Linked DNA regions of Saccharomyces cerevisiae S288C. The protein of the gene in region 1 interacts with the protein of each later gene in a biochemical or structural test. Each region holds a gene or a part of one and is shown on either strand. Other genes may lie near its edges.

What was found.
Region 2: the proteins of DDI1 (region 1) and UFO1 form a complex in vitro, tested with the Saccharomyces cerevisiae proteins (one study listed by BioGRID).
Region 3: the proteins of DDI1 (region 1) and SSO1 form a complex in vitro, tested with the Saccharomyces cerevisiae proteins (one study listed by BioGRID).

What each region holds. Positions count from the first base shown.
Region 1 is NC_001137.3:447,046-457,918, forward strand, and holds DDI1 (Ddi1p), read left to right. Parts: upstream 1-9,273; coding exon 9,274-10,560; downstream 10,561-10,873. Other genes in the region: YER137C-A (gag protein), read right to left, coding at 657-1,979; YER138W-A (uncharacterized protein), read left to right, coding at 2,429-2,533; RNA polymerase II subunit B1 CTD phosphatase RTR1, read right to left, coding at 3,518-4,198; EMP65 (Emp65p), read left to right, coding at 4,520-6,190; COX15 (Cox15p), read left to right, coding at 6,414-7,874; MAG1 (DNA-3-methyladenine glycosylase II), read right to left, coding at 8,101-8,991; putative ubiquitin-specific protease UBP5, read right to left, coding at 10,761-10,873. UniProt on the Saccharomyces cerevisiae protein: Aspartic protease. Appears to act as negative regulator of constitutive exocytosis. May act at the level of secretory vesicle docking and fusion as a competitive inhibitor of SNARE assembly.
Region 2 is NC_001145.3:90,362-101,234, reverse strand, and holds UFO1 (SCF ubiquitin ligase complex subunit UFO1), read right to left. Parts: upstream 9,001-10,873; coding exon 6,994-9,000; downstream 1-6,993. Other genes in the region: YML083C (uncharacterized protein), read left to right, coding at 185-1,441; alpha-tubulin TUB1, read left to right, coding at 1,835-1,859, 1,976-3,294; ALO1 (D-arabinono-1,4-lactone oxidase), read left to right, coding at 3,864-5,444; AIM33 (cytochrome-b5 reductase), read left to right, coding at 5,866-6,804; RPM2 (ribonuclease P), read left to right, coding at 10,504-10,873. UniProt on the Saccharomyces cerevisiae protein: Substrate recognition component of a SCF (SKP1-CUL1-F-box protein) E3 ubiquitin-protein ligase complex which mediates the ubiquitination and subsequent proteasomal degradation of target proteins. Probably recognizes and binds to phosphorylated target proteins.
Region 3 is NC_001148.4:105,538-115,829, reverse strand, and holds SSO1 (syntaxin), read right to left. Parts: upstream 8,556-10,292; coding exon 7,683-8,555; downstream 1-7,682. Other genes in the region: USV1 (Usv1p), read right to left, coding at 1-518; trifunctional fatty acid synthase subunit FAS2, read right to left, coding at 1,515-7,178; MIND complex subunit NSL1, read right to left, coding at 9,008-9,658. UniProt on the Saccharomyces cerevisiae protein: Required for vesicle fusion with the plasma membrane.

The DNA.
Region 1 (10,873 bases):
TTTGGTATTTTAGTCGTGAACCTTTGATATGTCTGTGTTTGGTGCTTTTGCCGATTAAACAATCAGGACATTGATAGTCAATAGCACTAGACCAGTCGACATCTGATTCGTTAAAATACGTGATGGTGTTATTTTTAAGTGAGTATCGAATTGTCTGTGCATTGGCATGTGCAAGCATTCGATGAATGAAAGGATAAGGATATTTGCGTGTACTTTCACTTGTATGGACATTATTGATGGTGGGTACGGAGATATTTGATGGAAGCAAGTACTTTTTAGATACCCAGTAAAAGTCTCCATATTTTACGATAGGTGCAAGTACAGTGCCGTCAGATCGTTCTAAGACGTTTTTGGTAAAGCATGCTGTGATATCTACTGCAGCCAATTCATTCAAACTGAGTAAGTCATAGGCTATGTTAGGAGTGTGCAATACCTTTATTGATGTTTTGGTGTTGTCCTGGAAGTGAAATTGTAGGTCACCAATAGCGTTAATTGGTATATTTCTTTTTTGAGCATCAACTACGTTTATGTCAGGATTAGATGATGCTGAGTGTATGTGATGAGCAGATCTTATAAGGGTTCGTGATGCTCCTGAATCGAGAAGGAGGTGTCCAGGGAGTTCATCATCAGAATGATTAGTGTGATTTACCGTAGATTCAGTAAGTTCCTGGCCTAAGGTGAAGGTCGTGCTTATTGTTCAATTGAATCGGTTCAGTAGTTGATTTACTGATGGAATCGTTGTCCGTGCTGGGAGAGTTATTAGATGTGGATACATTGTGAGCCCTGGCTGTTTTCGATTTCGAATTATTTGTTTTTTGAGGATTCCGAGCTATAACTTTGGGTTTGGTTGTATTCGTATAGCTGCGAGAATCATTCTTCTCATCACTCAGATTTCTCCTGTAATTAGGTTTGCTGTTTCTCGATCCCTGTTGTTCTTCATAAATAGCATGGATATCTAAGAACAGTTCAGCGACTGTCATATTTAGATGTCGATGACGTGTGTAGCGTAAAAATTTATATTCGCCAGATAGACCTCTCATAATTAATTGGCATGCGACCTTGTTATTGATATGAATGCCATTATTGTTCAGTCTGTCGATAATGTTTGTGACTTTTGTTTCAAATGCATCTGCAGGTGTACTGCCATTATATTGCAAATTTGCCAGGGTCACAATGTCGTTTGCCTCTTGGGTATCAGATTGCATTTTTTCAATACTTTTGGAAAGAATTTTCATGATATCCGTATAATCAACGGATAGGATGTCTTTGACCCAGGTAGGTAGGAATTGAGAGGGAGCAAATATTTGAAAAGTGTTATACAAGAAGGTGAGTTCATCATCAGTGATCTGACGTACGGGTTTTCCGTTTACTGTCGGAATAATACCACCGAGATTCGAGTTTTGTAAAAATTTGATGTATGTTTTAACCCAATTTGGAAAGTCATTAGGTGAGGTTAACATTGGTGGTGGTCTGACATATTTTTTAGTGGATGTCATATCAGAGTCCGCTGAGGATGAATCAGTAAATGTATTACCTGACTCAGGTGATGGAGTGCTCAGAGGCGTTCCAACTGATGATGGATACTGCGGAAACTGTGATTGTGGCCCAGGTGGAAAGTACATAGGCGACATTTGATAAGGTGTATACGGAATCATAGATGGGTGTCCGTAAAATGACCAACCAGATGGATTGGCTTGGTTTTGGGTCATCATGCACTGCTGTGGGTACGGCCCATTCTGTGGAGGTGGTACTGAAGCAGGTTGAGGAGAGGCATGATGGGGGTTCTCTGGAACAGCTGATGAAGCAGGTGTTGTTGTCTGTTGAGAGTTAGCCTTAGTGGAAGCCTTCTCACATTCTTCTGTTTTGGAAGCTGAAACGTCTAACGGATCTTGATTTGTGTGGACTTCCTTAGAAGTAACCGAAGCACAGGCGCTACCATGAGAAATGGGTGAATGTTGAGATAATTGTTGGGATTCCATTGTTGATAAAGGCTATAATATTAGGTATACAGAATATACTAGAAGTTCTCCTCGAGGATATAGGAATCCTCAAAATGGAATCTATATTTCTACATACTAATATTACGATTATTCCTCATTCCGTTTTATATGTTTATATTCATTGATCCTATTACATTATCAATCCTTGCGTTTCAGCTTCCACTAATTTAGATGACTATTTCTCATCATTTGCGTCATCTTCTAACACCGTATATGATAATATACTAGTAATGTAAATACTAGTTAGTAGATGATAGTTGATTTCTATTCCAACACATCTACTAACTAGTATTTACGTTACTAGTATATTATCATATACGGTGTTAGAAGATGACGCAAATGATGAGAAATAGTCATCTAAATTAGTGGAAGCTGAAACGCAAGGATTGATAATGTAATAGGATCAATGAATATTAACATATAAAACGATGATAATAATATTTATAGAATTGTGTAGAATTGCAGATTCCCTTTTATGGATTCCTAAATCCTCGAGGAGAACTTCTAGTATATCTACATACCTAATATTATAACCTTAATCACAATGGAATCCCAACAATTACATCAAAATCCACATTCTCTACAAATGAAGAAACTGCTTATAGTCAATTGAACGATTTACCGGTATTTTAACGCCATTATATATATTAGTAAAAAGATGGCGTATATTGATGGACTAACAGGGTCAAATAAAATCATGAATTGACTAGTATATACTTATAAGTATATCGTTCTACACAAACTAGGAAGATGACATACATGATGAGAATTGGTTATCAAATTCCATGGATGCCGAAACGTAAAAGATTTACTAAATAGTAGGATAATTATTGATAACATACAAAACAAAAAAAAAAGAGACAATATTATTATCTAGAAGTGTCGACTTCCTTCTGTGGGTTTCCTATGTTCTCGAAGAGAGCTTCAAGTGTATTCTATAAACTAAGAATATTAGTTTAACGAAAGATCGAAGTCAGACACCTATCTAACTTTCATTAAATTATCACACAAAAATCCCACATACTCTCGTCTTGCTAAACAAATAATAAATTGAAGGTGAACGATTCTTCTTGCAGCGTCCTAGCTGTTGGGTCGTCTTAGATAAATATCTACTGTTCTGAATTGCCAAATTTTCCTTCTATTGTATCCATTCGATGCTGGACGGCCAGTTCTACCGTTATTGCCCAAAAGGAAGGAACGTCGCGATACTTCAACACATTAAATACTTGTTGATTTTCGAACCAAAACTCTGAAGCAACACTTTCGTATATGGATGGCCCTTCAGAGAAACCAATAGGTATGTAAAGAATTGCTACGTGGTGACTCAAAGTGAATTATAGCAAAGTTATAAAAGCGCTACATTGTAGAAAATTGAGAACCACATTTTGACATACACGAATAACAGTATTTTTGTCCTGGCGCTGTAAAGTATTTTAAGTTATGATGATGAATTAACTATTTTCAGCCAATGAAACGTCCATAATCTGTTCTGAATTTAGGTGCATTGATATAGCCGGTCAATCTTCCCTTGTGAAATCACCCAAAATGCTGGGATTATCATTCTCAACAATTTTGATTTGTGCCAACCACTTCGATAAATCATCTTCCAGCTCAGTATCATCTTTTTCTGTAGTCCCACTGTCAGGATTTAATCCTAACTTTTTGAGACCGGATATCAATGATTTAATGTCTTCTTCGGATGCCTTTTCTCTTAGCAACTCTTCAAACAAAGTCACTTTGAAATCTATATCGTGTTTGTCCTGTTCAGGATCTTCAAATAGGTGAACCCCTGTTCTTGCAAATAAAGCTTCATCAGATAGTTGCACTTGATAAAATTGGGAACATCTAAAATGGAACTTACTGCAATAGTGCGACAAATATGCATACGGATTGTTTTCTAATAAAAATTTCTTAGTAGTATCATTCATTGAAAATGGATCACGTATTCTTTCTGGCGATTTACCGCAAAGAGGATATCCGCATCTTTTGTTTAGATTCCTCTCATCTACTAGGTCTTGATACATATCCGGTGTGAGAAATCGGCCCAAATATTTCAATGTTTTCTCATCCTTGCATTCTGAATCACATAATAAGCCTATAATCTCTAAAGTTATAACTTCTGCTTCATGCATGGAAAGTTGCCTGTGCTTTTGGAAAGGGATTAACGCCGTTTCCTTAATATCTTCAATCGTCGCCATTTCTTATTCTTGTTAACTTCGTCCTAATTTTTCAAACTAAGATGCCGATGTATAGATATTTTAGACTGGGAATGTTTATGAATTGTTCAATTCGCTCCTCAATGTGTCTCTTTCTTCACTTTTCCATTGCTTTTGACCACTTCTGGATGCCAGCTGATTTTGTATTGTAGTATTCCTATTTCGGACAAAAATATCGGAAAGAGATGAAATAAGAAAATTAGTTACTTTTAATATCACGATGCTGTCTCTGAATCGACCTGATCGATCTATAAGGTGTATATATTATTCTACCGAGTAATCCAAAAAAAAAGCAGCACTCCCATGCAACACAAGGATACGGCAGTAGCGAAGGACACAGCTAAAAAACGTTTACTGAGAAGAAATAGTGCGCCGTCAGCTATACATATAATTTCACGATTAGACAAAAAGTGGTCCTTCCTATGGAATACTATAGATAGACACAATATTGTTGAAGAGCAAGATGAAAGTAGCGCTGCAAAAAGCGAAGAAGAACATGAGGATGATTATGAATTGGAACAATTACTCAACATGATAAGAATACCAATGTTCCTGGAAAAGTTCATGCTCTTTGCACTTTTAACAAGCTTGGACTGTTTTTTGTATTACTTTACTGTATTACCGATACGACTGATAAAGGGATATGTAAAGCAATTCAAGAGTTATCGTCAGCATTATCGCCTGCAACAACGGTCTGGGCATAAGAATAAAATACCCTTTCGATATAGAATAACTTCAAGAGAATATAAAGAGAGATGTATGATTTTTATCATCGTGATTTCATCCATTTTGTTGAGCAAACTAGACACCTCAAAACTATATCACAGGATAAAACGGCAAAGTACGATGAAATTGTACATGCTATTCAGTGTACTGGAAATGGCGGACAAAATGTTGGCAAGTTTGGGCCAGAGCTTATTAACGGTTATGCTTTCTAGGAAAAACTCGGAACGGATATTACTGCATAAATGTTTGTTAGTGTCAATGAGCTTGACATATGTGACTATACACGGCTATGTATTGGTTTACCAGGCCATTTCATTAAACATAGCCGTGAATTCGTATTCCAATGCCTTGCTAACTTTATTACTATCCATGCAATTTGCAGAAATCAAATCATCGGTTTTAAAGAAATTTGATAAGGAGGGATTTTTCCAAATAACCATTGCAGACGTAGTGGAAAGATTTAAGTTGACCTTATTATTGTCAATAACTGGCCTTAGGAACCTCCAGTCGTGGTCATCTTCATTATCGAACACAAGCATCAATTTCTGGAGTCCACGTTCCACATTATCAATCGTCATTAACATACTTTGTGGGCCGATGGTAAGCGTGGTAGGGAGTGAAGTGTTAGTGGATTGGGCAAAGCATGCTTACATCACAAAATTCAATCGGATCCGCCCACAGATATATGATAAGTTCTATTATATAATATACAAGGATTATTCTACGAGAACGCACAAATTAGAAGATAGATTGGGATTGCCTTTACCTGCATTCGTTGTCCTTTTTATTGTAATGGTGAGGCCAACACTTTTTAAATCATCGGAACCTTCTTACCTTCCTTCGCTATTTAGGATCCTCTTCATGGGGGCATCCGTGTTTTTACTAGCATTGTTGGCAAAATTTACACTAGATCTTATTTTAATCAAATGGAGCAAACGGATAGAGCAACGGTTCAGAGACCAAGCTTTCAATACCGTTGTAACTGAAGAAGAATACGTCCCAGGTTTACTCTCGGGCGGTATGGGTAAAGTCGACGTGTCTACAAGAATTGCATTACATTCTGATTACAATAAAGAGAATCGTATAGAGACCGAAAGTGTATCGCCAATGCGGAAAAGAAAAACTACTTTAACTGCTGAATGTACTCCTCCTAGCCTAAATGATATTAGAAGACAGAAAGATTCCAAGAATCCACGATCGCTTGAAAATGTCGCTCGCTATAAAATGGTTTCTAAAAGAATATGGTAATCTAAGATCCGCATTTATCGCGGCTTACGGCTTTCGGATATTTCGTATATTGCAAGGAGCAAAAAAGAAACCCTGCTTACTAAAAAGCTATTGTTTTGCAGTTTATAAGTTCTTGCCTTTTGAATTATTGATCTTTCCTTTATCGTTTATTTAGTTTCCTATTGTAACTTGGAACTGTATTATATAATAGTGCACAGCACTGAAGTTGTAACTACTGTACGTCATGCTTTTCAGAAACATAGAAGTGGGCAGGCAGGCAGCTAAGCTATTAACGAGAACCTCGAGTCGTTTGGCCTGGCAAAGTATTGGGGCCTCAAGGAATATTTCTACCATCAGACAACAAATCAGAAAGACTCAACTATATAATTTTAAGAAAACTGTGAGCATCCGTCCATTTTCTCTCTCCTCCCCTGTTTTTAAACCACATGTTGCTTCAGAATCAAACCCTATAGAATCACGTTTGAAGACCTCGAAGAATGTTGCTTACTGGTTAATAGGTACATCCGGTTTGGTATTTGGTATTGTTGTTCTTGGTGGGTTGACTAGACTAACAGAATCGGGGCTGAGTATTACCGAATGGAAACCTGTCACAGGTACTTTGCCCCCTATGAACCAGAAGGAATGGGAAGAAGAATTTATCAAGTATAAGGAATCACCAGAATTTAAATTGTTGAATTCTCACATTGATTTAGACGAGTTCAAGTTTATATTTTTTATGGAGTGGATTCATAGATTGTGGGGTCGTGCTATCGGCGCTGTTTTTATATTACCTGCAGTTTATTTCGCTGTATCTAAAAAAACTTCAGGCCATGTCAATAAGAGGTTGTTTGGTCTCGCAGGTTTATTAGGATTACAAGGATTTGTTGGTTGGTGGATGGTGAAGTCTGGTCTTGATCAAGAGCAACTAGACGCAAGAAAATCAAAGCCTACCGTTTCTCAATATAGACTTACTACGCATTTGGGTACCGCCTTCTTTTTATACATGGGTATGCTCTGGACTGGTTTGGAAATATTGAGAGAATGTAAATGGATTAAGAACCCTGTTCAAGCCATTAGTCTCTTCAAAAAATTAGATAATCCCGCAATTGGCCCAATGAGAAAGATTTCTTTAGCTTTGTTAGCGGTGTCTTTCCTTACCGCTATGAGTGGCGGTATGGTTGCCGGTTTGGATGCTGGTTGGGTCTATAACACCTGGCCAAAAATGGGTGAACGATGGTTCCCTAGTTCTCGTGAATTAATGGACGAAAACTTCTGTAGAAGAGAGGACAAGAAAGATCTGTGGTGGAGGAATTTGCTAGAAAACCCGGTTACAGTTCAGTTGGTCCATAGGACATGTGCGTACGTTGCGTTTACATCAGTACTAGCTGCTCATATGTACGCTATCAAAAAGAAGGCCGTAATTCCAAGGAACGCGATGACCTCTTTGCATGTTATGATGGGCGTCGTTACTTTACAAGCAACACTTGGTATTTTAACTATATTGTACCTAGTCCCAATATCGTTAGCTTCTATCCATCAAGCTGGTGCTTTGGCGTTGCTAACAAGTTCTTTGGTGTTTGCCTCTCAATTAAGGAAGCCAAGAGCTCCGATGAGAAACGTAATCATTACCTTGCCACATTCAAGCAAAGTAACTAGCGGTAAAATTTTAAGTGAAGCGTCGAAGTTAGCCTCGAAACCATTATAATGGATAAAGGTATTCTTATGAGAATTGACAGTATACTCGCTTTTCCGCTTTGTCGCTCCAATGGTTGGATTGTATGTGTGAGGCTTTTTCTTATTATATGTTGGTATCCCTACGAGAAGCTGTAAATATGAATTTCTTTAGTAGGCATCACACACAACAATAGGGTGTATTTATTTTTATTTTTTTTTTTCTTATATAAATGTCAGTAATACATGATATCTTTAAGTTAGGATTTCACGAAATTTTCTTCTGCCTTCATCATGGCATCTGTATTTGTGCTCGCGAGCCTCCAAAGTATGAACATAAACACAGACCTATACGGAGAAAATGTTTCAGAGCATTTTTCCATTATGTCGTCGTCATATATTTTCCAGTTGTATTTCTTATGCTTAATCTTACTCTTTTTAACTACTTTTCTTTCACGCATTAATTCTTTTTCCAATTCTGGCTTATCTGAAAGGTATTTTGAAAAACCCCTAGCAATACCTAGATCTTCAGGAGCAAATACATCCATTCTTTTCAATCCGGAGATCAAGAACATTTTGGCACTCCATGGGCCTATACCTTTTACATTCGTAACTAAACTTTCAATCACTTCCTCATCATTATCTTTTTGACCGAAGAGCTTTTCGATATCCTTATATTTTTCAGTAAAATAGACAGCAAGAGACTCTAGATATATCATTTTCCTTTTACTCAATCCACATTTTGCGATTTCTGCACATTTTGCTGGGTCTTTGAAGTCTTCGAAAAGGATTTTGTAATCAGGAAATGCACCGCCATAAAGACTGACAACCCTTGCCTTGATGCTTTCAGCTGCTTGGCCACTGATCTGTTGAGACAAAATTGTGCTTGCAAGCCTAATAAAATAATCTTCGAGTGTATTAGGGACTTGAGTCTCCTTCAAGTACAACGTAAATTCATTATTCTTAAGTATGGGAAAAAGTGATGGATCTTTCTCTAAAATGTGTTCGCAAGCCATATTGAACTTTTCTTCATGTCTAGCAATATATTTCTCAGGAAGAGCAACCTCTAGAGGTCGAGACCCTAATTCTTTTGCTATTTCCTTAACAGCGTCTGCTTTTATTAACTCATCATACTCCCTTTTTAGTTTCATTGAGACCAATCCCTCTCTAGCTTCTCTTGATTCTCAGTAAAAAATTAAAAAGGAAAAGTACCACTTCCATCGTCATATCAGAGGGCAGTGGCCAATTCTCATTGATTCATAGATAACTTAAACTTTATGTAAGAATTCCCGTCGCCACCCCGCCCTGTAAATTCATCGCCACCGAAAAGATAATAATACCAAAATGATATATAAAGTAGGTCGAATAAGAAAGTATACTTAACGTAGTTAACAAAGTACATACCAAACATAACAGCAAAAATATACGTAAAGATGGATTTAACAATTTCAAACGAACTTACTGGCGAGATATACGGCCCAATTGAAGTCAGTGAAGATATGGCTTTAACTGATCTAATAGCATTACTGCAGGCCGATTGCGGGTTTGACAAAACAAAACACGACTTATATTACAATATGGACATTCTAGACTCAAACAGAACTCAGTCTTTAAAAGAACTAGGGCTCAAAACCGATGACTTATTATTGATTAGGGGTAAGATTTCCAATTCCATTCAAACAGATGCTGCTACTTTGTCCGACGAAGCGTTCATAGAGCAATTTAGACAAGAGCTACTTAATAATCAAATGCTTAGATCACAACTCATTTTGCAAATCCCTGGATTGAATGATTTAGTAAATGACCCACTGTTGTTTAGGGAAAGATTGGGCCCGCTCATATTACAAAGACGTTATGGTGGCTATAACACCGCCATGAATCCTTTTGGCATCCCCCAAGATGAATATACTAGACTAATGGCCAACCCCGATGATCCTGACAACAAGAAGAGGATTGCAGAGCTTTTAGACCAACAAGCTATCGATGAACAGTTGCGCAATGCTATCGAATATACACCTGAAATGTTTACCCAGGTCCCTATGCTTTACATTAATATCGAAATAAATAACTACCCCGTAAAGGCATTTGTAGATACAGGGGCTCAAACAACGATTATGTCCACCAGGTTAGCGAAGAAAACTGGCCTGTCGAGAATGATTGACAAGAGATTTATTGGAGAAGCTCGTGGCGTAGGAACCGGCAAAATTATTGGGAGAATTCACCAAGCCCAAGTCAAAATAGAAACACAATATATTCCATGCAGTTTTACCGTCTTAGATACTGACATCGATGTTTTGATAGGACTAGACATGCTGAAAAGGCATTTGGCTTGTGTGGACTTAAAGGAAAACGTTCTTAGGATAGCAGAAGTGGAGACAAGCTTTTTGAGTGAAGCGGAAATCCCAAAAAGTTTTCAAGAAGGACTTCCAGCACCAACGTCAGTTACAACTTCGTCTGATAAGCCCCTAACACCCACCAAGACTAGTTCAACTCTACCACCACAACCGGGGGCTGTTCCTGCGCTTGCTCCAAGGACTGGTATGGGGCCAACACCTACGGGAAGAAGTACAGCCGGTGCTACAACGGCAACCGGGAGAACGTTTCCCGAACAAACGATTAAACAGCTTATGGATCTAGGTTTCCCTAGGGATGCTGTGGTAAAGGCTCTTAAACAGACTAACGGAAATGCAGAATTTGCTGCATCCCTCCTTTTCCAATGAGCAACCACTGATATTGTGATCGGCCTCTACGTATGTAGCCCATAACACAAATAGATAAGTATAAGGATGTACATACTTTCATTGTTTCGTCAATTGTTGTTTGTATTGTATATGATTGTACTTCTGTTAAGTATATAATATGCAGATTGTATTTGTGCCTCAATGTGCGCCATTCATGTGTTGCAAACCGGTAATTTGATTCAAAAAATTCTTTCGTAAAATAAAACATATGCACTGGGTGTGATAAATTCAGTACTAAACGTTATAGGACGATAAAGCGAGTCATCGAAAAAATACCAACCTTTTTTTGGTC
Region 2 (10,873 bases), on another chromosome or scaffold:
GGCATATGCATACAAATATATAAATACATTCGGGTGTATACGTAAATATATAAATATATAAAGTAACATATGTATATAAAGACGAAAGATTGAACGCCATCGTGGAGAGGGTTTTCGTATGAAGGTGCCTTAAGTCTTGTGTAGAAGTAGTTCTTTAGTTAAGATAGAACCTGGTAAAGACTCAATGGACTATTTACATGTATATAACAACAACCAGGCGCACGTTCCCAGAACACCTCCAGGCAGGCAGTGCCTATCGCCCGTTCTGCCCCCAATCATATTGGCGTTAGATCAACAACATTCGCTGACATTTGGGTACTCCAGCCCCAGGTGCTTGCCAACACCCATATTGCCTTCTATGAGCACAAATACGCCCGTCCATTGGTCACAACAGGTTGTCACTATCCCTGTCGCTGTACGAAATCATGCCGCAATGATGCCTATTATCACACCTATGACCTCCCCAAGACCTCAGTTTGAAGCAACGGCTCCCTCACCCCCTTTGGCCCCGGTCGCCATAAAGCTGCCAGATTTGAAACTACCACCGTCGCCTGTGCCCAGCACAGTAGAGGACAGAGTTTCACATCCTATCCTGCCCAAAATTGTGATCGGGAATGGCGGCGGCCGTGATGTTGAGCGAGATAGTACCGAGGAATTAATTAGGAAGATTCCAAACTACATTGGTTGTGCAAAAACAAAGGCACAATTGAGCAAAGTTAGGTCTGGTAAACAACTAATTGCATGCGCACAGGAATATCACCATCCAGTAAACAAGGACGAGATCGAAAATATCAACAACATTCTAAACTTCAGGGACTTTATTTTCAAGCATCCAAAATCCTCCTTCGAGTTCCTATGTACCCTGTCGTTTGAGCAGTTCGTTAGAGTATATTCATTCATTAGTTTCATCTACAGGACAAAGAAAATCAATAAGAACAAGTACGAACTCGTTTGTGAGATGAATGTTCACGAGCAACTCAGCAATAAGCGTATACAAAGAACAAGGACTCCTGAAAAGTACAAAATACATTTGATCTGCGAGTCAAAACTCATACTGACCTTCAACCACTGTACGAAGACAGTAAAATTTGAGTCTATCAATGGCGGGCACTGCCATCCGATTTCAGCCAACCACATTATCAAGCCCTCCCTCTTCCTTACCCACTGCATTAATAAATGCTACCAGACCGTGTCAGACCCTACCGATTTGAAATTGGCATTGAGAGACGCCTTAGAAGCCCTTGATCATGAAAGGATAGGATTGTCTTTCTTAAAGAGGAGACATTTCAAGTGCTCACACCAAGCATCATCACTCTCGAATGCCAGCGCCACATTGAAGAAACAAGAAGATCATGACACATTTGGTGTACATACAGGAATAATTCATACGGCAAATTTCTTCATGTTTAATGCATCTAGCGATATATTCCAGAGGAACTAACATATATAAATATCTGTATCCTTCTTTAAGAAAACACAATTGCATACTTTTTCCATTATAACTGACTGTTTCAGATCCTGCAATAGAAAGTATTTTTTAAGTAATGAAATAGTGCTTCCATTGATAGTAAGTGAGTAATAAGACGATCGGAAACTATTAATATAAGTATAGTTTACATATATATATATATATATGTGCCAGACGATAATATCACCGTAGTTTCCGGCCGGGTTATGCCACGCGAAAACGCCTCGAGCCAAGGGAAAAACTAAACTACAAAACAAAACAAAACAAAACAAAAACATCTACTATATCGTTTTACCCAATTCAGTATATCCGTCTACAACAGTTCTCGCCACCCAAGATCTGTAAACTTACAACTGCAAACAAACAATGAGAGAAGTTATTAGTATTAATGGTATGTTCGATTTGCCCGTCCAGGCTAGATCTTTTTTTTGTTAGTTCATTTTGGCGTTTCATCTTTCATTACTAACTTCAACGCAAAATTTTTTTTTTTTTGATTTCTCTTTACAGTCGGTCAAGCTGGTTGTCAGATTGGTAATGCCTGTTGGGAATTATATTCCCTTGAGCACGGTATTAAGCCGGATGGACATCTAGAAGATGGCCTTTCAAAGCCGAAGGGAGGAGAAGAGGGTTTCTCCACGTTTTTCCATGAAACCGGCTACGGTAAGTTCGTTCCAAGGGCTATTTACGTGGATTTAGAGCCCAACGTTATTGACGAAGTCCGTAACGGTCCTTACAAGGACTTGTTCCATCCAGAACAGTTGATCAGTGGTAAGGAGGACGCGGCTAATAATTATGCAAGAGGCCATTACACCGTTGGTAGAGAAATTTTGGGCGATGTTCTGGATAGGATTAGAAAACTGGCAGACCAATGTGATGGGTTACAAGGGTTCTTGTTTACCCATTCTCTTGGTGGTGGTACTGGTTCCGGTCTAGGGTCCTTACTGTTGGAAGAACTATCCGCTGAATACGGTAAGAAATCCAAGCTGGAATTTGCCGTATACCCTGCTCCACAAGTGTCTACTTCTGTGGTTGAGCCTTACAACACAGTTTTAACTACACATACTACATTGGAACATGCAGATTGTACTTTCATGGTCGATAATGAGGCTATTTACGACATGTGCAAAAGAAACTTGGATATCCCAAGACCAAGCTTTGCAAACTTAAACAACCTAATTGCTCAAGTGGTATCATCTGTTACAGCATCATTGAGATTCGACGGTTCATTAAATGTAGATTTGAACGAATTTCAAACCAATTTGGTTCCATATCCAAGAATTCATTTCCCCTTAGTTTCATATTCTCCAGTCTTATCCAAATCAAAGGCATTCCATGAGTCCAACTCTGTGTCAGAAATTACAAACGCTTGTTTTGAACCTGGTAACCAGATGGTCAAGTGTGATCCAAGAGATGGTAAATACATGGCTACTTGTCTGTTATACAGGGGTGATGTGGTAACAAGAGATGTTCAAAGAGCTGTCGAGCAGGTGAAAAACAAGAAGACCGTCCAATTGGTTGATTGGTGTCCAACTGGTTTCAAGATCGGTATTTGCTACGAACCTCCAACTGCCACACCAAACTCACAATTGGCCACTGTGGATAGGGCCGTCTGTATGTTGTCAAATACCACATCCATTGCTGAGGCTTGGAAGAGAATCGATAGAAAATTCGATTTAATGTATGCCAAACGTGCTTTCGTCCACTGGTATGTCGGTGAAGGTATGGAAGAAGGTGAATTCACCGAAGCTAGAGAAGATTTGGCTGCTTTAGAAAGAGATTACATCGAAGTGGGTGCCGACTCATACGCTGAGGAAGAGGAATTTTAAGGTTCACTCTCGCCCCCAACCTCCTTATCCTTTCTATATTTCAAGTATATTGTAAAAAAAAAAATTCCCCCTACTGTTATATCTCTTTGGTGATATCTTATCTATAATCTACTTATTATATTTCTCTAATATCTATGTACAAAAAATAAAAAAAAAAACCATTCTCCTTCTCTAACCTGCATTTGATGAAAGCTTAGTAAGTCTCATCGTAGTTGATGGGCCAAAGACATTTGTACTTGTTTCATCAGATTCTTACATCACCCATTTCCATGATTATTTCACGGATTTCATTAGTAATTGCATTTTTGTATCCCTAGTTCCTTTTCTCCCGCCTTGCCGTCGAATTGAAAAAAAAAATGGAAATGAGGACATCTTCCATTGATATCCAGGACAAAGCAAGAGTAGAAGTAACTATTAGCAAGGAGAATTCCAAAAATAGTGAACTTCAAGGTAAGCAGATCTATAGTTTCAATATCTGATTTTCTGCTTTTCAAAACTTAAAATTCATTAGAAGGTAAAACAAGAACCCGTAAAATTAAAGTTACCGATATTATCAGGTTTTTCACCCCATGTCTACTATCCCATTTAGAAAGAACTATGTGTTCAAAAACTGGGCCGGAATTTATTCTGCAAAACCAGAACGTTACTTCCAACCAAGTTCAATTGATGAGGTTGTCGAGTTAGTAAAGAGTGCCAGGCTAGCTGAAAAAAGCTTAGTTACTGTTGGTTCGGGCCATTCTCCTAGTAACATGTGCGTTACTGATGAATGGCTTGTTAACTTAGACAGATTGGACAAAGTACAAAAGTTTGTTGAATATCCTGAGTTACATTATGCCGATGTCACAGTTGATGCCGGTATGAGGCTTTACCAATTGAATGAATTTTTGGGTGCGAAAGGTTACTCTATCCAAAATTTAGGCTCTATCTCAGAACAAAGTGTTGCTGGCATAATCTCTACTGGTAGTCATGGTTCCTCACCTTATCACGGTTTGATTTCTTCTCAATACGTAAACTTGACTATTGTTAATGGTAAGGGCGAATTGAAGTTCTTGGATGCTGAAAACGATCCAGAAGTCTTTAAAGCTGCTTTACTTTCAGTTGGAAAAATTGGTATCATTGTCTCTGCTACTATCAGGGTTGTTCCCGGCTTCAATATTAAATCCACTCAAGAAGTGATTACTTTTGAAAACCTTTTGAAGCAATGGGATACCCTATGGACTTCATCTGAATTTATCAGAGTTTGGTGGTACCCTTATACTAGAAAATGTGTTCTATGGAGGGGTAACAAAACTACAGATGCCCAAAATGGTCCAGCCAAGTCATGGTGGGGTACCAAGCTGGGTAGATTTTTCTACGAAACTCTATTATGGATCTCTACCAAAATCTATGCGCCATTAACCCCATTTGTGGAAAAGTTCGTTTTCAACAGGCAATACGGGAAATTGGAGAAGAGCTCTACTGGTGATGTTAATGTTACCGATTCTATCAGCGGATTTAATATGGACTGTTTGTTTTCACAATTTGTTGATGAATGGGGGTGCCCTATGGATAATGGTTTGGAAGTCTTACGTTCATTGGATCATTCTATTGCGCAGGCTGCCATAAACAAAGAATTTTATGTCCACGTGCCTATGGAAGTCCGTTGCTCAAATACTACATTACCTTCTGAACCCTTGGATACTAGCAAGAGAACAAACACCAGTCCCGGTCCCGTTTATGGCAATGTGTGCCGCCCATTCCTGGATAACACACCATCCCATTGCAGATTTGCTCCGTTGGAAAATGTTACCAACAGTCAGTTGACGTTGTACATAAATGCTACCATTTATAGGCCGTTTGGCTGTAATACTCCAATTCATAAATGGTTTACCCTTTTTGAAAATACTATGATGGTAGCGGGAGGTAAGCCACATTGGGCCAAGAACTTCCTAGGCTCAACCACTCTAGCTGCTGGACCAGTGAAAAAGGATACTGATTACGATGACTTTGAAATGAGGGGGATGGCATTGAAGGTTGAAGAATGGTATGGCGAGGATTTGAAAAAGTTCCGGAAAATAAGAAAGGAGCAAGATCCCGATAATGTATTCTTGGCAAACAAACAGTGGGCTATCATAAATGGTATTATAGATCCTAGTGAGTTGTCCGACTAGTCTCTTTTTGTCTCAATAATCTCTATATTTTACTAAAAAAGAATATATATATATATATATATAGCAGTGTGATGACTGTTCATGTACATTCTAATAACTATTCCTAGCTGCCTATCAAAGACTTTTTTTTTGAATTAGAGCTTTTTAGTAATCATGGGACCCTTTTTTCTTTTCATTATCCTTACTATAGTTTTTTTTTTTTGGAAAAGCCGAACGCGGTAATGATTGGTCGTATAAGCAAAAACGAAACATCGGCATGGCGTAACGTAGATCCATCTACAGGGAAGTTTTTAGAAATCAGATAGAAATGTATTTTGAGTGCTGTATATATTGCAGTACTTTTTTTCTCTCTAGGATTTAAGTATGTTTAGTATTAACTCATATCACATTTTTTCTTTGTAAAAAGCAACCATTCGCAACAATGTCGATAGTAGAGACATGCATATCTTTTGTTTCGACAAATCCGTTTTATCCATTTTGTACTGGATTGCTTCTGAATTGTGTGGTTACACCTCTTTACTTTTGGAAAACGCAAAATGGTAGAATCGTGGTCGTTTCATTGCTGCAATTCGTAGTACTTTATGCCACAGCGTTTATTTCGATTGGAACTGATAAATCTCTTTACAGAAATAAATGGGTCGCGCTACCGCTATCCAAGAAGACCCGCATTTCTCGTAATACTAGTCTGTACTGCTTCAAGTTAAAGTACCCATTTGAAAGATTGCATATTCCCATGGGATACCACCTGGCAGTAAGGGTTACAATAAATGGTGAGCGATTAGTGAGGTACTATACGCCAGTAAATGTTCCTAATACGGAGGGTCACTTGGAATTAGTAGTCAAGACGTATAAACATGGTGTCGTTTCTAAGTATTTTGATAAATTAAAAATTCGCCAGTATGTTGAATTTAAAGGGCCGTTAGGTGAGCTGGAATATGATCAGGACACCGCAACAGAGTTGGGTATAATCGCAGGGGGGTCTGGTATAACCCCTGTATTGCAAGTGCTGCAAGAAATCATACCCTCTCCAGAAGACCTAACACACATTTCTTTGATATACGCAAACGAAACAGAGGATGACATTCTCATGAAATCGCAACTAGACCACATGGCTAAGGAGTACCCGCATTTTAAAGTTCATTATGTAATTCATAAGCCAAACGGTAAATGGAACGGTGATGTTGGGTACGTAACTCTAGAGGAAATGAAAAGATACCTACCTAAACAAGCGGAGGACCATCGTTTATTGATTTGCGGACCACCTAAAATGAATGAAATGGTTTTGAATTATGCAAAGGAGTTGGGGTGGAGTAATGGGTTTCACAAAGGTAATGGAACCGATAAAGTTTTTGTTTTTTAATCAACTGTTTACGATTGATGATTTTTCATGTAAATAAGCATTAATTATATTTAGATATATATTCGTATTTTATTAATAATTAGGAGGAATAAAGTCCGACATTTTTTTCAAAAAAAAAAAAATAATATTTCACAACGAAAAATCTATAAATAAAATATTTAACATATGCTCTTCCAAATGTACATACTTTCAATTGATTTCACTCAATGACAACGCAATGGCCAATTGTAAGTCTTCATCAACATTATTACTAGCATCAACGCCAACAGAACTACCGATAGTGTTCTCAGTTGAGGTTCGTTCGGATGACTCTGCTGCACCATATGTAGCAAAATTATCGTCGCTCAAGGGCCCATTTCGTCGACCTGTAGTATGATTTCTAAGATGTCTTCTCCTTTCGTCCTCCACTCTTGATTGTCTGATGGCTCTGAGAAACTCTTCATCATCTTCATCTATCTCATCATTCGTATTATTACCATGATTCGCAGAGCTATTCGTTTGCGTCTCATATATCAGTTGAGATTCCTCCAGCGCCCTTCTTAACTGCTCATCTTCATCATCTCCGACAGGCTCCCCCGCTTCAGCTTGATTCCGTGCTTGCGCCTCCTGTGATTCTAAGAGTGCAATTCTCAACTGAATGTCGTTTTCTTCATCGGTGTCGCCTGAAAGTTCAAGGTCTCCACCATACGCATCGATCAATCTTGATATTTCTGACTGTCTTTTTCTTCTAAGGTCTTCATCTTCATCATAATATTGCAGCTCCGTGTTCAAAGTTTCATTCCACTTATTGCTTACTGTGTTTTTACCTTTAGTGGAATGGTGATGTTTCTTTGAATCACTTGAAACAAACTTTAAATAATTCAAAACGTTACCGCTTCCCATAATGATTTTATCCTGCGATACCTTCAAAAATTCGGGAAACTTCTCGGTTTTCAACACTGTCTTTATTAACTCGCCTGTCATCGCGTTCAATATTTGAAGAACATTTGGCAATGCTACCACAACTATTAAATTTGTCACCTGCGATACGTATACCTGCTCATCAAAACTTATCTTACATTGAACTTTTAAGCCTGACGAAGAAAGATCTCTTATATTGATAATGTATAAAGTGTTCTGTGTCGTCAAAAGACTGATATAGCAGCCGTCATCACCAGCAAATTGCCAGTTTTGTTCCCTTTGAGAAGTTTTTTCATCTATTTCAACTGCGCATATTTGTTCAGGCATCTCCAACTTTCTCAAATTGCCGAAGTTACCATTGGGATTGACCGATATTGTATAAACGTTATTCAGGTCAGCAAGTACCAAAGTCATGGAACCGAAATCCATCTTGAAAAACCGTACCCTCATAGGCTGTTCGTCCAGATCCTTAGGAATATCAATACTGTGCAATTCCTGCATTTGATGGATAATGTACAGCTTTTCATCATCCATAATTAAGGTCCAATCTTTAAAAAAAGCCAGTTTCCAAATTACCCTATTAGAAACCTTCCACATCTTAACAAGCTTATTTTCGCACCACCATATAATTTCACCGTTTTCAGAGCCACTAACAGACCAGTCCTCTCTTGACGTGTCCCAGGATTCTGAATTACAAATGGCAGTAACGCCTGCACTATGCCTTCCCGTAAATTCCATCACGGGCGTTAAGTACGATTTGTTACTTAGCAGTTTTCCAAACACTCTGCCGTCAAACCTACCAAACACTGCAGCATTAATATTGAAGTCCATGGTAGAACAACCTTGTGGTGTTGTACATGGAATATAAATCAATTTCTTAAATTTCTTCTGCCTTTTGTGATTTTGTAACTGTAAAATTGTAATGGTACCATCATTATAAGCTGCAACTCGTGGATAATCAAACACTATGCGTTCTATACTGGGCTGATCCCAGTTTCTCGTCGGAATTATTGTGTATTTGGTTCTTATAGCCTTGTTATGCTGCCAATGATGAAGACCCCGTGTCCTTTCAATATACTCTACACTAAATTTCGAAGACTGAGAAAATGTGGGGAAATGAGTCGTGTGAACTCTAGACTTAAACAGGTTCTTCCAAAGTTCTTCATCGTGAATTAAGTTCCGGAAATGCGTAGAAAGTTCTTGCAACGTGAACAAGTCCTTTTCGTCTAAGTGAGAAAAGATGTTTATCAGGATTTCGGGTGGAAGGTCCTGCAATACCAAGCCAGGCCGCTCCATGCTGTCTTATTCCCTAGTGTCGGCCACCTGATAAAGGTTTTTAACTCGTACCTGGTATACCTGCCTGTTAGATTTATTTAAGGCATCTCTAAGTAATACTGAAAACCGCCACATGCGAGAAAATGGAAAGGGAAAAATTAAGGCTGCGAAAATTAATAATAGCCAAAAAAAAGTGCATGATAAAGCCTCACCCCGAGTTCGAACCGGAAAAAAAAATAGCTAAGTGAACTACTTATCCAAAGCGCCAAAAGGGGTAACAAGAAGCATTTCCCGGCTTTTAAAATGCGTACATAAACTGCTAAAAAATGTCTTGTTTCTTTTTTCGGTATATTTGAAGACGGGGATTTTAAATCATGAAATACGTACTTCGCCCTAAAGAGTCACTACAGAATTTACAGAATAGTTAGATCGAAGCACGCTAAATTGGCACCCGAAATAACACTGCAGTTGTTGCAGCTGTGGCGCGCAGTGCGAATCTGCCGCAGAAAACCCAGGAAATAGCGACCGGACACCACGTAATGCAACGCTGACCTTTCGGCGGCAAAGAATTGGGGTAAACATATAAAGTATTATTTAAAGAGAGAGCAATTCCAAGACAACAGAAAATCTTACAATATATTTATCACAGAATTCGCGGCGCAATTATACGTGGCAAGGAACCTAGCAGGCTTTACGCAAGATGCCATGGAAAATTTAACATCTAAGGCTACCTGAATAAAATGCCAAAAGCGAAAAAACCGTCTGAGAGCCCGCTAAACTCTTCAGAGTCGGTAGTAGATACCAAGATTACGCTAGCCGCACATTTCCAATTTGTTGTTATTCCCTATGCCGCACGCTTGGCAAAGCTGTATATTTGACTCTTTTAGTAGATTTGTAGAGCTTTTCCTGGCATACAATAAGCAAAGACTTTATTTCCGCTCGAGTCCGCTTTTAACCGCCGAATTCCTCCGGCTAACCAATGAAATGCAAGAGCGCACAAAAAGTGGGGCAGCTCCGAATGCGCGCGTTCTCATTGGCCAGGCACTCGGGGCCGAGACTCGGTGTGCCTTACAATTCCCCCATGACAAAGCAAAAACTGTCAGTTTCCCTCGAATCATACACACGTCAATTACAAATCCATGGATTAAGTTGTCTCTCGTTCGTCCATATTACACTTTTCTCTTTAGTTGTATGCTTTATAAAATTGATCCGTGAAAAGTTTTCCACATAATAAACCAAGACAACAGGATTGTTTATAACGTTATAAGAAAGCAGAAGAAAATTTGCTGTGCGTTGTTTCCCTAATATCGCACCCAAAGAACCAAGACACATCATAAAAGGAGCTATAGCTTCAACTCTGACACAATTTTTTGTCAGTTTATATTCATCTTCACAAAAAAAAAAATTATACAAATATAGAAACAAATAACTCGCCCAGCTTTTTTTGCATAAAAAGATAAGTGCATTTAAATTTATAGAGACTACAACAAACAGAAAAGAAAAAACAAGCATACACAAACGAAAATGGCTTTCAAATCATTCATATACTCTAAAGGTTATCATCGTTCCGCCGCTCAAAAGAAAACTGCAACATCTTTTTTCGATAGCTCCTACCAGTATCTAAGGCAAAACCAAGGTTTGGTAAATTCGGATCCCGTACTTCATGCATCTCATCTACATCCTCATCCGGTCGTAGTAGCGAATGTAAACTATAACAACGTAGATGATATTTTGCATCCGCACGACCTGGATTCTAGCATAAACAACACTAACAACCCCCTCACCCACGAAGAACTACTTTATAACCAAAACGTTTCCCTTCGATCGCTGAAGCAGCAGCAAAGTACAAACTATGTTAATAACAACAACAACAATCAACATAGGTATTATTCTA
Region 3 (10,292 bases), on another chromosome or scaffold:
ATGCTTCTCGTGCTAGTAATGAACTCCGGCGAAGAATGTATTATTTGGGGCGCTTTTTCGTTTTCTGCCATCATCGGCATGTTCCCGCTATTAATATTAGTTTTCCTGTAAGGATCACTATATGATGTAGATGATGAAGCAGAAGACGAAGAAGATGCAGAAGAAGAGGAGGATAAAGATGAAGAGGAAGGCTTACGCTGGTGCGAGCTGGTAGAATGGTGGTTTTTATGTGCATGGACCGATTCCCGATGCTGTTTCAAATTATCAACTCTACTGAAGAATTTCAAACATGCAGGACACTGGAACGGCTTTTCACCAGTGTGCTTTCTTATATGACGTGCAAGATGTTCCGCTCTAGTGAAGGACATCGTACAACCGTCATATCCGGTGCATTTGAACGTTTTCCTTCGAGCACTTTTGGACCTCTTCGGAGTTGATGCCGCTACACTATTGGTGGCAAAGTTACCATTGCTGCTCGTAAGAACGCCTGCAGTATTACGATTCGTGGTATTTTCCATTTCGTGTTTTTTTCTTATCTTATCACAGTATTATTTATGTGTTAGTAAAAAAAGCTAAGCCAGTAAGTCGCTCCAGATTTTTTCTTTACATACATGGTTAATGAAGCTGTTGCAAAATACTGCAGCCAAGAACTCCTGTCTCTTTCAAAACAAGACGAAACTTTATCTGCCGGGATGAATAAGAATTAATCAAAATTATAGGCAATAAGAGTGGATTGAGATTGTTATATACGGAAGACTGTTGAACGGTTAAGGGGGAAGCCGTGAAGGAGCAAACAAATCTTGAAAAAGAAAACATTTTCTAAAAAAAAATAGAGGGGATAAATAAGGCCCTTAGGGGGACTCAACGGCGGAGAATTCGAAAGCCAAAGGATGCTTCCCACCGCTAAGCCAGGGCGAACGGCAGCGGCGATCGAGGATGCTGGTTCTTTAAGGGCACTCGTCCACCTTCGCGATTTTTCTCTTCCCTGAGTATTTGGCAGAGGCGATCAAGGGGTGGCTCACACAACCAGTCGCAGGAGCGTCGCGCATCGGGTATTAGACCCTATTCTGTACACCACAGCCTTCCAGCCCCTTGCCCCACGCGATTGGTGTAAACAATAGATGGCAGTAATCGTTGAGACAACATAACTACCGGCCGTCCCTGACCCTTTCCCCTCCTCACGGTAGAGACAACAACCACGGGAGGAATAAAAACCGGTGCTGGGCCAGCCGATATCGTAAAAGCCTAATTACCCCAGAGCTGCTACGCGGACTTCTATTCTTCCACGCGTCAATATGCCCCCGCGCGAATTTGTGTGGGCCGACCAAATAGAAGAATTGAACGGTGTGTACGCTCAGGGCCATATGATTATAGACGTACACAATGATTAGGCCAGATCGAAATCAGAGGCTAAAGTAAGGAAACGATAGAAAAATAACAAAGTAATTACTATTATGTCTGATAAATAGAAGCGACACGTTACATATTAAAAGAGGGACTACGTAGTGCTCTCTCTATTTCTTAGTAGAAACGGCGACCGCGACAGCTTGGAGGTCATCGTGAGAAATAGATACCTTCACATCGGTAACACCAGCTTCTTCGGCAGCCTTTTTGGCGTTACCGTGCAGTTCAACGGCTGGAGCGTTTTTGTTAACGCGTACGATTTCGATGTCTTTCAATGCAGCACCACCGCCTAAGGACTTGACGCCTAAGGACTTGAAAACAGCCTCTTTGGCGGACCATGTCCCAGCGAAAGAGCTTTGCACACTAGGCTGCGCGCTGCAGTACTCTATTTCTTGCGGGGTGAAATTGCGCTCGATAAAAGTATCATTTTCAACGTTGATGCTAGTGATTAATTCAACATCTACACCGACGCCACCGTTAGAGACTTTCTCCTTGGTCATGTTTTCAATCATCTTGGCAGTTTCAATGGTGTTAGCATTGATGTAACTGTCCTTGCTTTGGATGTTTTTAGAGTTGAAAGTCAAGGAGCCTGATTTCTTATCCTTAGATACACGGGCTAATGGGTCCAAGTAAACATCCTCTTCCAATTCATCAGTGTATGGAGCATGCTCTTTACTTACGAACAACTTGTTGTAGATCATACCATTATGGAAGAATTTGTAGGCACTTTTCTCTCTGGCACTAACCTTGGCGACATACTCGTTGTATCTGTCTTCAGTGATAGCACCGTATAAGTAGTCTGGATGAACCACAATAGCTTGACCACCCTTTTGACCAAAACCGAAAGAAGTGATGGACACGGCTCTGACACCGTCGGTCTTTAAAGTCTTGGATGGGTACAAGACGTATTCAAATTGCTCCAAGATCTTATCCACGTTATCAGCGTTACGGTTACCTGGAATAATACCACTGTTTAGAATTTGCAAAGCACCATTCATCATCCATGCACCAGCAGCACCCTTTGGATGACCAGTCAAGAACTTTTGGAAAACACCAATGACGGGATTACCTTCAGATCTACCCAAATGCTTCATCATTTCATTAATTGTGGCAGATTCGTTCTTGTCATTAGCCTTTGTGGATGTACCGTGGAATGAAGCGACACCCAAGTCATCAATAGTTAAACCGTAAGTAGCCAGTGCTCCTCTCAATGGAGCAATACGTGGGTCCCTCTTGTAGAAGTCGTTACCCCATTGTTGTTGTGCAGCTCTCAATTGACTTTCAGCTTCGTTGTGGATTTCTCTGGTACGTTCAAGTAAGAACTCGTTTTGGTCTTCGCTTGGAATTTCTTCGGCCTCCAACTTCAAAGCTTCCAATTCGTTTTCTACCCAATCTTTAATCTGAGCTTCACGAGTAACCAATTGGCGCTTTCTGTACTTCATGTTCAAGTTTGGTGAAGCATACTTAACACTGGAGTGGTGTTCACGAGCAGTGGTTAAAATACCCTTACCTGGAGCTGGCACAGATCTACCAATCTTATCGGTGGCGGTAGCAGCCATGGCAACAATACCGTAAATTGGCACACCCATCTTCAAAGCTAAATCAGCTTGCATGATGATTTGAATACCAGCACCTTGAGCTTCCATAAAACCGTTACGGGTAGTGGTGGCAGGTCTGGACATTTCCGCTGGGGTACGACCATGTTCAAATTCTTCCAAAGTGTTGGAAGTGGCCTTCATGTTACCGAACTCAAAGGAGCCTTCTTCTTGGAAATCATCGTAACCACCGACAATACAGATTCTAGCCTTACCAGACAAGATGGTTTCTACACCAATGTCAACAGATTCCACGGATGTGGCACAGGCACCAACAGGTGTCTTGATTGGACCAGATGAGGAAATCAACAACATATTAACCCAAGCGGACATGGTGTTGATAAATGATTCTTGTAAAATATCATTTTGGACAGGCTCATCCTTGAAACGGTCCTTAAACATACCACGTAAGGCAGAAACACCACCCATACCAGAACCAGAACAGTTACCAACCTCAGAAACATGTACGTATTTGTACATTTCGTATGGGTCGGTGATACCAGATGCAATAAATGCTTCCACAACAGAGACCAAAACGAATAATGTGATTGGGTCAACCTGAGAAATGATATCATCAGAGATACCATAAGTCTTAGCATTCCAACCAGTTGGAATTTGACCTGCAACCAAACGGTCAAATCTCAAAGCCTTTGGAATGTATAAAGTGGCACCCTTTAGTAACTTAACAGAGTACTCTCCTGTTTCTGGGATTTCGAAGATATCCACTTTGTCACCATGTTGGTGTTTAAATTGTTCGGCAGTTTCCTTCGAAGCCTCAAATGGTTCCAAGTCTTCTTCGACAATGACTTCTTGAATCATTTCCTTCTTTTCTGGGTTGTAACCATTGAATAACTCTGGTTCGATCAATCTGATACCACTGTGTTCTAGGATTGATGTTTCATACTTGGCCTTAACGTCCTTGTCATCAACTGGTTCTTTTGTTTTGGAATCAACCCAACCAGTGTATGGACGACCCTTCAAATTACCGTTATGGTATGAAATGAAGCCCATAATCCAGGCCATTTCAACGCAACCTTCCAACGAAAATTCACCAAAAGCTTCCATTTCCCATCTTGTTCTGGCCGAACCCCATGGGCCGACTTCAGCAAAACCGGTAACTACAATAACTCTTTCCAAATCCAACAAACCTTCAAGCTCAGCGGGAGCAATTTGTTTAACCTGTTTGTATGGTTTCAATTCTGGGAAGTCCAGTTGAATGTTAGCTCTTGGTTGAATTTCGACTTGAGCATATGCAGCATCAGCGCTATTGCCATTGACAACCTTATGCTCCAAAGCAGTTTCGATGGAAACTGCCTTTCTAACTTCAGAAGTTTCAACCAACTCTTTACGCAATTTAGCAGTGAATTCCTTCAATTCAGGAACAAATTGCAAACCACCATTCAAGTCAGCCATAACAGGTGATTTTTGGCACAATTCTACGACTTCTGGAGTCAATAGACCCAATAAGTTGAAAGCCATTTCCTTTTGAGAGAAAGTACGAACACCCATCTTTTCAATGCCTTCAGCAATGATGTTATTAGCGCTCATTAAACCAGTACCTCTAGTCCAACCAATAATAGCACCGCAAACGGTTAATTGATTGGCCCAGGATTCAGAGTGCCATCTGTTGAACAAAGTTTCCAAAGACAACTTGGATTCTGAATACATACCATCACCACCGAAAGTACCATGGTTTGGAGACATTGGTAGAATGACTTGAGCTGGTCTTGTTTCAATACCTCTTGCAGATTTTTGCTTCTTGACACAACCCATCATTCTTAAGATATTGGTCAACATGATTCTATGAGCAAATTCAGACTTAGAATCAATATGTTCTAATTCAATACCTTGTTCTGGAATGGCCGCGAATGGAATAATAGCATCTAGATCCCAACCTAAACCACCATTCTTTTCAGTGTCGTAGATAAATTCAATCAAAGCTTCAACGTCTTGCTTAGAACCTTGGTTGAATGGAACAACAATCAAAGTAGAACCCTTAGCACCATATTTGGCGTAAATGGATTGGTAGTAGTCTGTAACTTGCTTAGAGAAACGAGAGGTGGTAACAACAACCTTAGCACCACCTTGTAACAAACCTTGCAAGACTTCAGCACCAATAGAACCCTTACCAGCACCAGTGATCAAGACGTATTTGTCCTTGAAGGTGACACCGTTGAAGGCAGCCTTTTCTAAACCATCTAAGAAAAGAGAAGACAATTGGCGGTCATATTTCCAATCTCCGGCAGGAGTCTTCTTTCTCAAATGTAAGAACGGAATAGTTTCTCTTGGAATAGTTGAAGATACCGTCTTAGAAATGGTAGATTTGTTTGGCAAAGAAGCAACTTCTTTGGTGGAATCTTTGTCCAAAGCATCCTCAACATCCATACCGGCCAATTGGGTTGTTTGAGAAGGATCGATTTCTTTGGAGCTTTCCAAGAACTTCATCAAATCACTATATAGTTTTTCAAATTCAACCCTGGTGGAGCTGGAAATATCTTGTTTATCAGCTTGAGCACTGATTGCCTTGTAAACACGAGTCAAATCCTCTTCAATAGTAGGTTGAGATTCTTTGGTGATTGGACCACCAAGGGCCATTTCTTGTACGTATTGAGATAATTTCCTAACCTTTTCTCTTGGCTCTTCTGAGTATGTAATGTTACCGTTCTTGTCAATAGCAGTTTTTGGACCGGTAGGCTTAGCAACATCTTTGTAAACTGGATCAACATCCAAAACTTGTTTACAGTTTTCAATCAACTGCTCACCAAGAGTTTTAACCAATTGATAGTTTTCACCTTTTGTTTCATCAGTGTTAGAGATATGGTATTCCATGAATTTAATCAAAGCATCGTTAGATCTGTTCATGATATTGATAGCTTCACTAACAACCTCTCTATCAACGTTTTTCAAGACACCATGAATTATCTCAAAGTATAATGATAATAAAGATTGTTTAGCCCAGTTCCAGGAAGAATCGAAGGTTCTGGCCTTTTTTCTAGAGAAAGAAGTAGCAACACCGTTAACAAAGAATTCACCTAATTCGGCATTCAAGTAATCCAACTGAGCTTGAAGTTCAGCAACAGTGTCCTTTTCTTTCAAGAACTTTCTTTCACCGTTATCCAAGTCCATTTTTAGATAACGAGCCAATACTTGCAGTTGTTGACGCGCCAAAACCTTGTGGTCTTTGGTTATTTCTTCCAGAGCGCCAGCATCGATCATAGCTGCACCGGCAGCAGCACCTGCACCGGCAGCACCACTAGCGCTAGCAGCTGATGATAAGTCAACACCAACAATGGAAGCGTATTTTTGAGCCATGGAGTCCAAGAAAGCCTTGGCATCAGCTTCAGAACCTAGACGAGCAGCAGGCTCGTTAGATAAAGCTACCAAAAGGACACCATCTTGTCTACCAGATGGTAGTCCCCAGCGAGTTTGTAAGTATTTTCTAGCGACAGTAATAGTAAACCCACCAGGCATCTTAGATGAGATTAATCTTGATAATAACGAGGAAGATTGCTTACCCAATGCTCCAGAGAAGGTATCTTGGAAAGTTTCTGCCAATTCTTCTAATGGAGTTTCTTCTGGTTTTTCAGGAGTAGTACCAAATTCTTTACCTAAATCACCCAAAATTTCATTTTGGACTGTAGATTTACCACCGACCAAGTCTTTGATTGTCTTGGACATTGGAATGGAATCTAACGACTTCTTCAACTTGTGAGCAACCAAAACGTGCAACAATAGGGAAGCCTTGACAGGTTCATCGGCAATCTCAGCAGCTGCTGCAGCTGGGGCTGCTGCCGCGACGGGAGCTGGGGCTGCTGCTGCAGGAGCAGGAGCACTAGCAGCTGGAGTTGGAGCAGGAGCTTCTTCCTTAGCGGGCTCTTCCTTTGCAGCTAGTTCGGATGGATCTGGGGTATAATAAATCTCTTTGGCATCCTTCGAATAGCATAAGATTTCTCTATGTAAAGACAGAGCAGCATCGTAAGATTCGTATTTATTCTTCAAGGTTCTTTGAGCCATCCCAGCCAAAGTTGGAGAAGGACCGATTTCAACAACCCTTTCAGTGTTAAAATCCTTCAAAAAAACATCTTGAGTTTCAATCCATCTCACAGGAGAGGCAAATTGATAAGCTAACAATTCAGTTAGCAAAATATGAGCTAATTCTTGCTCAACTTCCGGCTTCATAATGATGGTATTTCAATTGGTGTTGCTGTAGCCCTTTAAACGTCTAATATAGCGGTTATTAGAAAAGCACGACAGTGGTGATGTGGTCTTGTGTAACCTTCAGTTAACAAGTTATATATGAGGCATAACCGTTTAGAAACAACTGGTTATCCAACATCTGTAAACTGCCCAACAAACCGTGCCTTAGTGAGATTTCGGTCGTAACGTTACGAGGCGAATGAGGTAGCATGTGAAAACGCGGGAGATAAAAAAAAAATGGTTGGATTTTGCTAAGCGATGGGTTAGTTTGCGGGTAATGCCCAATGTATTTTTAGGAAGAGTGATATTTAAATATTGCTTGGCTAAACTAAATACACGTCCATGATTCAGTAGTAAGTTGTTGTTTTTGGCCTGCAGACCAGAGAAAATTTAGGAAATATAGTAAAGAATAGGCGAAAGTATTAAGATATATTGATATACAAAAGGGGAGTTCGGATAGAATAGAAATATAGAAAATAGTTGGAATTAACGCGTTTTGACAACGGCTGGGACAACAACGACAACAACAACGACTACAATGATGGCGAATACAATCAACCAACATCTAATCTTGTTCTTTCTTGCTTTTCTGGCACTCTTGACGGCTTTATCGGTATGACCGACACCCTGTTCTACGTCGAGTTGAGCGTCTTCAACGTTCTTGTCGATGACGTCTACGTTTTCTTGTTGTTCTATTACCAGTTCTTCCATGTCATTAAACAATTGAGTAAGTTCTGCCATGGATTTTTCTAGTTTCAATAACTCTTGGTGCCTTGCCTGGACTTCCGCAAGAGCAGTCTTGGCTTCCCCACGTCTGTTAGCATTCAACAATGCTTGTGAGAAGATCTGCTGGCCCCCTACATCGCTTATGGCTGCTTCAACTTCATCTTCGGTGGCCTCTGGTTGAATGATCATATACTGCCTCTTGGCTTGCTCTTTATTCTCCTCCTTGTAGTTGGAATCCACAATTCTGTAGTCCTGGATAAGCTTCAAAAATCTTTGTCTGGAGTTTTCCGCCTGAGCTTGCTTGTTGGTGTCATGTATCCCATCCCTTTGGGCACTTTTAATCTCATTTTTCAGTTTGAACTGCAAGTCCGTGGCTTGTGCGACGAAGTTGTCCAGGGAGTGCCTTAAGTGACTTGCTTGCTCCTCATTAACTTCGGTCAGTAGCCTCTTATGCAAAGAATCGACCTGGTTGATGGTATGGTCGTACTTATCGAGATCGCGATTGATTTGACTGATCTTATTCATGAAGCCCACGAAATCGTGGCCTTCAGCACCGATAGCGCTCGAACCTTCGTCCAACTCGTATGACTCTTCAAAAGGGGTTTCCAACTGGTACGGATTATTATAACTCATTTGATTTGTTTCTATTTTTAATTGCCTTTTTTAATTGTAAAAGGGTTTTCTTTCAAGTATACACAGATTTACCGCAAAGACCGTCACTGCGTGAGATAGACCTTTCTTTGTTCTTTACTAAAAGTTATTGGTCTTTCCCCTTGTAACTTCCACGATTTGACTTGATTTGGTTCTTGACGTCTTTACGAGAAGTAAGATCCTGCTACTTTTCTTTTTTTGTATTCGCGTTTCACAGACACTAATTTTTTCTCTTTAACGGGCAAAAACTGGATTCTCCCCCATGCGCACAGCCTGCATATCGTCTTTTGTCGTTAGTGTGTGGGAAAAGGCTGGCTCTATACTTTTTTATTTTCAGCTCTTCGTACAAAGATAAAAAAGTGTAAAAAAATGAATAAAGCCCCAGAATATAGTTATCATTTACCACGAGGTTGACTGTCTTATATGTTATTTATTCAATCCTCCTCCAGGAAGTCCATTAAGCGCTTGACCTTTTCAACGTTATATCTTACCTTGGGTAGGTCTTGCTGTGTTTGATACAATTCATTGAGTGAGGCAACGTAATCCTGCTTGATGTGCTCCCAGTTGATGTGATCATCGGCATCGTCGGTACTATCATCATGGTCAGCAGATTGTTGCTGCATCATTCTAGCTTGAAGAACGCCGATTCTCCCATCCAATTGTGCCAAATACTCATCCTTTGAGTTGTTGTAAACTTCGTTGATTTTTGCAGGCCCCGTTTGCCTCAACTGGGCCACCTTAACGGTTTCGTCTTCCCACTCTTGGTACATCTTTCTAACTTGCTCATTCAGGTCAAGGTCAAAGGGCTCCATGTACTTCTCTTGTGATTCCATGATCAATTGCTTTACCGTCTTTCCTACCGTGTCGGCGTTGACAACTTCTAGTGACTTCGAAGCCATCGTCATAGCGCTCAAAAGAAATTCTTGTAACTGTATCTGAACCTCTCTCCTAACAGCGTCATCGTCGTATTCTTTCTTCGGTAGATGCAAATCAGTTTTTTCTTCCAAGATATCATGAAACTGGTGGTATATACTTCGAAGCTGCTCAACAGTTACGTCCAGTTTTTTGGACTGACCTTGTGACATCTTCTCGTGTTACAATAATATATTTAGTGTGGTTGCTATGGGTAAGAAAGGATTTAGGCTCCGGTACACGTCTGAATAAAACTTTTTCCGCCTACTCAGCCTGCTTATTGTACTGTACCGGTTTGTTTATTTTCTTGATTCCTGCACGCACAAGGAATGGCCGCGAGTCGTCCCATCGATCTTTTTTTCTCACTATATATCATGAACGTTTATTTTGGCTGATAACAAAATATTCGTGTCAGTTGAGCCAGGTAAAAGGTTGCAGCCTAAATCAGTACTTATGTACGTACATGTGTATCTGTGTATATATTATCTATATCACTAATCGTCTTGTGCTTTCAGGCTTAAAGAGCCATTTCAAAAAGCAAGCAATTACTGGACTGCTTTTATATGTTTTCCCTCTACGGAAAAAAAAATGTAGAAACCTGTCAAAATGGTGATAAAGAAGAAGTAACTTCTTTATTTGGTATTGTTCAGGTCTGCTTATTCCTCTTCGGTTAGATGTGTTCTTTTGCGTAAAAGCAGCAGCACTTGGACAATGCGACTTTTTACCCGGTACGCAGGTACGCATATTTTTGCTAAGAAATATTCTTTAGTGAAAGAGTGATTAGTTAGAAAAAGGAACATAGATAAC